Linked DNA regions of Arabidopsis thaliana. The protein of the gene in region 1 interacts with the protein of each later gene in a pairwise test. Each region holds a gene or a part of one and is shown on either strand. Other genes may lie near its edges. The genes, in order: GDU5 and LUL1.

Region 1 (3,593 bases):
CATATATAGACCAAAGAACTCTGATTATGAGAACAGATACTCTGCAGAAAAACCAAAAGATCCCAGCCAAATAAAGAAAAAAACAAACCTAAAAACTTAAGCCGAACCAACGTCGTGGCTTTGGAAGTCCACGAACGTTAGTCGGAGCCACAATTTTGTCGAAAAAAATGACCAGGAGAAAAAGAGCTGGTATAGAGAGAAAACTTTTCGGAAAAAAAGCTCTCCGATAAAATAACATTCTAATTTTATAAAAAATGACTAAAATTATGTAACTTTTACAAAATAAACTAAAAATCAACTTCCATTTGTTTACATATTTCCCATCACACAATATTTTTTTTTGTTTTTTTTGTTTGCTAACTTGGGTCATTTTGATTTATTTTGGACCCAATAAAAATCAAGTGTTTTGACCAGTAAAGATGTCTTCAGTAGTCACGTAGACACAGTGATGGCTCACACGTTCAGAACGGAAATCACTCCCCTGGTCTTGGCCAAATATATGCTCCTCTAACTTAGAGTGCTAACCACTCGGCCATGAAAATGTAGCTAAACTTCTTAGTTTTACAAGTAAATCTTTAAGCTATAGCAGGATATAGATATACTCTCAAAACTAATTTGGAAATATTAATGATCAAAACAATGACACATTGATACCTTTAATTTAGCAAAATATATTCATATACCAACATTTATACATAGAAACCCGAAATTTCTCAACTTTTTTGTTCACATTTACTACTCTAATGAAAATTTACAATCTCAAGGTCGACAAAAACAGAGGAAAACTACTTCCCCAACAAACAAAAAACAAACCGACAAAAACAGAGAATCCAAAAAAGTACACTCTTGAGAACAGAGCTCAGTAGTCAGTGGTTTTCTTCTGTTACTTTAGATTCCCCATTTTGTCCTTCTTTCTTCTCCATATTAACACAATCCAGGCAAATCTTGGCCGCGACCGGAGTGGCTAAGAAGGTAGGGTTGTTTTGTCCAGCCATGATCACAAGAATCTTCTCCTCAAAAGCCTTAGCCACCACTTTCTCACCGGACTCCGTCTGTTTCTCTTCATCTTCTGTCTGCCGCGAGAGCCTCCAGTAGGAGCAGGCGAGCAACAAGAGAGCAAAGGCTATGAGTCCAAGCATGGCGGCTAAACCACCGAATAGGTAAGGAACCGGTGTACGCCACGGAGACCGTGTCTGAGACTCCACCATTGTTGTCATCATCTTCTCATTTATGTTTCCTCTTATGCTTGGAAATTGCCTCATTGTTTTATATTTCTTATTCTTGGATTTGTTAAAGAACAGAGGAGAAGAAGCTTGAAAATTGTGAAGCTTATACTTTTTTTTTATAACTGTGTAGCTAGTTTGATTTTGTTGGAGTGGTTTGACATTTTATTTATAGTACTGGAAGAGAACAATAGAGGGAAGAGATGTAATAAATATTTCACAATATTATTATAAAACAAAATTGAAGGTAAGTGGGTCACGGAATCTTCATGATACGTTACGTTGCTTTGATCATGCACCAGGTTCGAAGATATTTAATCATACGTTTTTGCATTTAGATATATACCTTGATTTTTTTGTTTATAAAATCCTTTTTGGATAATCAAACTTTAAGATCTCAATTCCGTAATCCCTTTTTTTATTTGTTAAAGACAGTTCCATAATCTCCTCGTGTCAGAAATTATAACAAAAAAAAATATGAGGTAGATATTTGAAAATGTGATCCCTTTTTTGTTCAACTTAATATGTGATCTTACCATGTTATTTATGGCAATGAATTTGTGATTTTTTGGATAAAGAAATCATTTATGAAGATGACATTTGTTGACAAAAGACAACTACAAAAATAGATAAATTATCATGTTTATTTAGAAAATTATTTATTAGTAGAATTGACTGATCTCTTGAATTCCATTGCGTCTTGAAAAACAAGCAATATTGTTTTACTTATTCGTTGTAGATTTGTTTCATATATACATGATCGATCAGCTGAAAGAGTGGCCAACTATACATCTTAATTGATCAATTTAGAGCTTCAAAATCTAGTTTTTTGGAGTTTAAGGTAGTCTACAAGCCCCATATACGAGTAATTTTAAGCTGATTTCTTATAAGTGATATAACAGTTAAAACCATTACACTAAAGTATGAGATAATTTCCACATGATGATTTTGTAAATTGTGGATGCATATATATTTAGTGGAGGTTATGCATATTGTAAGTAGAGTAGTTTGTTTATGTTTTATGAGTGAAGATGATTTATATATGTTCTTGGTGTTATAAATGATTATAAATTTAGGTTTTGAATGATTGCAATAAAAAAAAGCAGAGAAATGTTTTCTATTTTTGGAACGGACAATAAACTGATGTAAATCAAGCTTTTTTTCTACGTAAAAACAATCTATAGTTAGTTTGCCGCATACTTGTTCTATTTTTTACACGACAACAAATTATAGTTCATAAATACTAAAGAAAAGTAGTATAAACCGGAAATGAATTGGAAATGAATTGGTTCGTCCTAACTGGCGCAACTATTCGAACCCTTATAATTTTATCGACATCATATTTGGGAGAGACAAACAGAAAACATAATTATATGATTATTTGGATTTAGGAATATTAAGAGGGCCCAGCTTTGTGTTTTATTCGGGCCCATGAATTTCACATGGCCATTTGTTATTACGCTAAGCCAGGGATATGTGTCTTTTCGATGGTGCTATTTGGATAATGATGTTTGCCGTTAACAGTAAATTATATATGGGTTTACTTTTTAATATTCCACAACAACAATCCATAGATTTTATTTGTATCCATAGTTGGAAGAGAATATATTTCATTTTTTAATCATGTCGATTGCCAAAATTGTTAGATTAATATTTGAACATTAATATAAACCATATATCTACAATCTCTAAATGAATAAACTATGTCTAGTGAACCATAAGATGGATTAGCTCTTATTCTTGGATTATGTTATTTTTCTTACTCACTTATGAGTTATGAGTAATGTTTTTATTCATATGTGTTGTAATATCCGAAATTTGAGAGTTTACTTCATAAATTATCGAAAGAATTCTGATTATATTGAACTCTGTTTTTCATACGTACATCTCCTTTCTGATGAGGTTTTTTTTTTGGTAAAGCTTTCATGTTGATTTTAAATATAATTTCAATTGAAACTTAAATTTGATCTTTTTATATTAATATAGCCACATACTGACATACATAATTTTAGATACAACTCACAAATCAATAAATATTAGTCGTGAGTACTTGTTAACGATCGAAAACTTCAACTGATGGAGGAAAGGTAAGTTTTAATTTTTAAGCTGAGTACATTAAAGCATTATTTGAGTTGTGTGACAATACATGAATGAGATTATGAGAATATATTGATGGAGTTGGAGGAGACATGACAACTTGAAAAGAGAATTATGGGTTGTTCTTTATCAAAAATATAAATTTATGCATTGTCAACTTGTGGATATTTCTCCCTTGATATTATTATTAGGCAAGTAAAGTAAACATGCACTTTCAAAACCTTGGACCCATTTAAAGATATTCATGCATATCTATGACATTGACATACACAC
Region 2 (3,902 bases), 7.8 Mb from region 1:
TGACATTGGAGCAGCCGAGCACATGGATGCTAATTTAACTCCAAACTGGTTCTTTCCGTTATACCCACTCGACAGCAAAGCATTCAATGTCTACTTTGTCGACCACAACACTTCAGTAATGCTATCCTATGTCAAGAAACCCGGCGTCACCTTTGTTTACCATCCGGATTTGGCTGAGAACAACTCGACAGGGAAAAAGATAACTCCGCTTGAACAGCTAGAACCATTTCCAGAAGATGAGAGATTCGATTTCCTTGCTTGGTTTGAGGAAACTGCGAAATACGCAGACTTTGTAGTCCTTAAGATGAACACAAACCAAGTGGAAATGAAGTTCCTAACTGTTTTACTGGAAACAGGAGTCATATGCTACGTGGATGAGCTTTTCCTCCGCTGTTCCAACCACAAGTCAGACTGCATCAACATGCTTCAAACTCTGAGAGCCAGAGGTGTGTTTGTTCATCAATGGTGGGAAGACTAAACCAATGTAAAACTCAATCTCGCTTCGCCTTAGTCTTATCTACGTCGATTCGTGTCTGTCTTTGTCTCAGTTGTAATGCCATCACCTTCTGTGTTTGCCATAGTTGGTCCTCGGCCACCACAGCTCCTGGCCAAGCACCTATAACTAAATAAGAAGCTGCCTATCTGTTTATCATTGCTATTTAAGAACTCAGTTTCCACTTATAATATATTGAACCATAACGTTTTACGTCTTAATTAAGCATGGCATATATTACACAAGTCGATTGCTTAACTAAATTTGTTCATTCTCCATCTCCATTTCATCCGTTCTTGTTAATCTCCAAAAGCATCTCAACAGGTTGTCTGCAAACTGGGCACAGATTTGTCTGAAACCTTAACGCCTTTGCGCACCCGCTACACATACACTGCCAAACAGAAATACACAAACCATTTCAAAAGAAGTTCAATTTTTTTTTTATATGAGCTAATTTTAAGTATGATGAACACTATACCATGTGTCTGCAAGGAAGAACAGTTGTATCGCGTGGTTCAGACAAGCATACAACACATTCCTTTCCCTCATCGGAACCATCAACCGTGTTCTCAATCCCATAAATCTCAAGCAGCTCATACCTCCTCTTATTCACCCATAGTATCTGCTTCACCACTTCTATTTTAATCTCTCCTTTCTCCTTGGTATACACCACTTGAGTAATCTGCACATTGGTGGAACCAGACTTTCCTTCTTCCGCTGGAGTTGCCTCCGCCTTAACCGCCAACGGGAAGACATCTGTATCCACCTCCTTGAATAGCTCGGAATCTTTAAACGCCGTCAAGTCTATACCCGTTCCAGATGATTGTATGAACTTCTGACCAAGTCCTTCTCCGAAATCAAAAGTGATTGGAGGCAAAGTATCTTCCTTTGTAGCTCTAAGATTACATTCTGCATCTTCTGTAGCAAAGAAAACAACTGTGATCCTGTTCTCGCCAACCAAAACAACAAAAGCTAAGTCATTTATATTACTCCATTGATTGATTCAAACAAGATTCAAACTTTTAACTAAATTTGATCATTTCATAGTTTGAAAGTAAAACCTTCCGGGCATGGATGCATCAAATGTGAAGGAGACAAGAAGTCGATTCGGATTCTCCGGGTCGGGTATGAGCGTTAAAGTCTTCTTCTTCAGATTAACATCGTTACGAATCGTGACGGCTTTCTGGTGGACGTACGTAGGAGGCGGCAGTATAGGGTATCTACCGCCGTGAAACAAAGGATGAGGTAGTTGGTAACTGTTGGGAGGATAGTGATGCAAATGGTTGAAATTGTACGGTAGCATCGGCGGCTCAGTTACTGGCGGAGGAAGGCAGTTACCTGGATACTGGTCAACGTAGTTAGGGTTAGGGTTCAGATATGGTGGCACGGCGGCGAATACAAATCTGTTCGGTGGGAGTTCAAGAGGAGCCGTTTCCATCGCCGGAGGAATATTGCTCCTCTGCCTTCTCCCGCAGCAGAAGATCAAACTGATCAGATTCCCCATGATCGGAAAAAGAAAAAAGGTGAGGTTTTTCGGTGATTCAGTTGATAAGGAGTAGAATCGAAGTAGGTTTTATGATCATTGAGAAAGGGGAGTAATGAGATTGGAGATAGCGACGTCGACGAAGAAACACCAAAACGTTTATTTGTATATATTATAAATTAGTATTAAACTTGATTAATTACCATGGGAAATTGATTATTACTTTTAATCACATAAAACAAAGAAATCATTATCAGTAGCACTAGGCAGGCAATAGGCCCAAGGCCTCACAACAATATCACGGTTACAAAATAAGAAGAAACGAAATGACAAAACCGGAGACACGAGATTGGTTTTGGAGGTTGATCGGAAAACAAAGAAACACATCCATTAATACCGGCGATTACAAGAAGCACTGCTCGTCATTAAGAAACATCTTGCACTGATCGTCATTAAGAAACATCTTCTCTTATGTCTGATTATATAGGAGATCATAATAACGTCGATAAAAAAGAGTTTAAAGTGGAAATCAACCAAGAAATAGAAAGCACTATCAAGATATATTTCAAAATGAATATTTCATTAAAATGGATTAAAAAATAATTAAACACTCGAGTTTTGATCTTGTCTTGTTAAAATTTTACTCATCGTGTTCCTCATAAATTGTCCCCAGCGAAGGCGAAGCTGAAACCCTCATCGGATAAACAAGAATCGCCGGTACAGTTTCGAATGGTCCGATCATCCTAGCCATGATTTGTAAATATACTCTTTCTTCGATTTAGACTTCGGCAGCTTTCGACTGTGTTGAGAAGATCTATGTGGAAATTATTGTTATTGCTGATATTTATAGAGATAGAGAGGAATAGTAGTAGTGTAATTAACTAATCATCAAGTGATCTTTATATATTTGTATACTTTTTTATAGGACGCAGCTTAATACTTATCGCACGTGATATTTATGTTTCATATTTAGGTGATGCTCGAAAGTTGAAACATAAGTATGCGTACACTGCTTTAGTTTGCAGATAAATCATACATGTCTTTATTAAAAATTAATGTAAATTAGATTCTTTTGGTTGAGAAAATGATCGCACCAAACAGAAATAGCGGTGAGACTGGTTTCAGGTTTAAGTTTGGTTTGATATTTGAAGATACTGATTTTTTGTCGTGGACCGGTTATCGTCCCGGTTCGGTTAGAAAGTATATTAAGATTTGTCTTTAATTACCAACTCGTGAGCATATAACAACAGATCACCGAGCGTACAAGATGTGAAAGTTGAATGAAAATTTCACAAAGAACTGAGATTTGATTGTACAAAAGATACAATACAAAATCTCATCTTATACAGTTATAGAAAAAACAACAACAACAACAAGAGTCTATCTTAAACCCAAGACCGAGTAACAAAATGATCATTACAATTTACACGTCCTCGTTTTCTTGTTCTTGATTGTCTTCTTCGGTCTCTCCGCCTTCTAAAATCGTCTCAAGAATCGGAGAAACCGATGGCTTCGCCGGAGAAATGATTTGTGGAGGAACAGCCTCCATCCACCACGCCACATCCACCACCACCGTCAGATTCTGATCGCACCGATTATCAAAGAAACACATATTCGCTTCACTAGATATTATTTTAGATTTGCGGAAGTAATTCAAATTGTTACTTTTTGAGTTGAATTGATACGTGTTCATTTGTTCGTATTTATAGAGAGATTGACGCGTGGAGATATGTGGAACAATGATGGGTTTGACGTAAGAGTCGGACAAGTGGACGATCCACAATGTTTAAGTTAGTTTGTTGACTTGGTCTTATTTGCTAATAATAATGAAACCAACACGAATATTCTAGAACCTCTTGTTGTCGTCATTATCAACAAGTCTCGAATGTGCAACACGTGTGAGCTCTTGTCTCACACGTCTATATC

Evidence for each region.
Region 2: the proteins of GDU5 (region 1) and LUL1 interact in a two-hybrid assay, tested with the Arabidopsis thaliana proteins (one study listed by BioGRID).

Annotation. Positions count from the first base shown.
Region 1 is NC_003076.8:8,582,334-8,585,926, reverse strand, and holds GDU5 (glutamine dumper 5), read right to left. Parts: upstream 1,393-3,593; 5' UTR 1,263-1,392; coding exon 867-1,262; 3' UTR 630-866; downstream 1-629. UniProt on the Arabidopsis thaliana protein: Probable subunit of an amino acid transporter involved in the regulation of the amino acid metabolism. Stimulates amino acid export by activating nonselective amino acid facilitators.
Region 2 is NC_003076.8:759,671-763,572, forward strand, and holds LUL1 (RING/U-box superfamily protein), read right to left. Parts: upstream 2,171-3,902; 5' UTR 1,998-2,170; coding exon 1,555-1,997; intron 1,438-1,554; coding exon 972-1,437; intron 885-971; coding exon 780-884; 3' UTR 649-779; downstream 1-648. Other genes in the region: CPUORF47 (peptide upstream protein), read left to right, coding at 1-478; AT5G03204 (uncharacterized protein), read right to left, coding at 2,617-2,727; DIP2 (E3 ubiquitin-protein ligase), read right to left, coding at 3,400-3,669. UniProt on the Arabidopsis thaliana protein: Acts as an E3 ubiquitin-protein ligase, or as part of E3 complex, which accepts ubiquitin from specific E2 ubiquitin-conjugating enzymes and then transfers it to substrates (in vitro).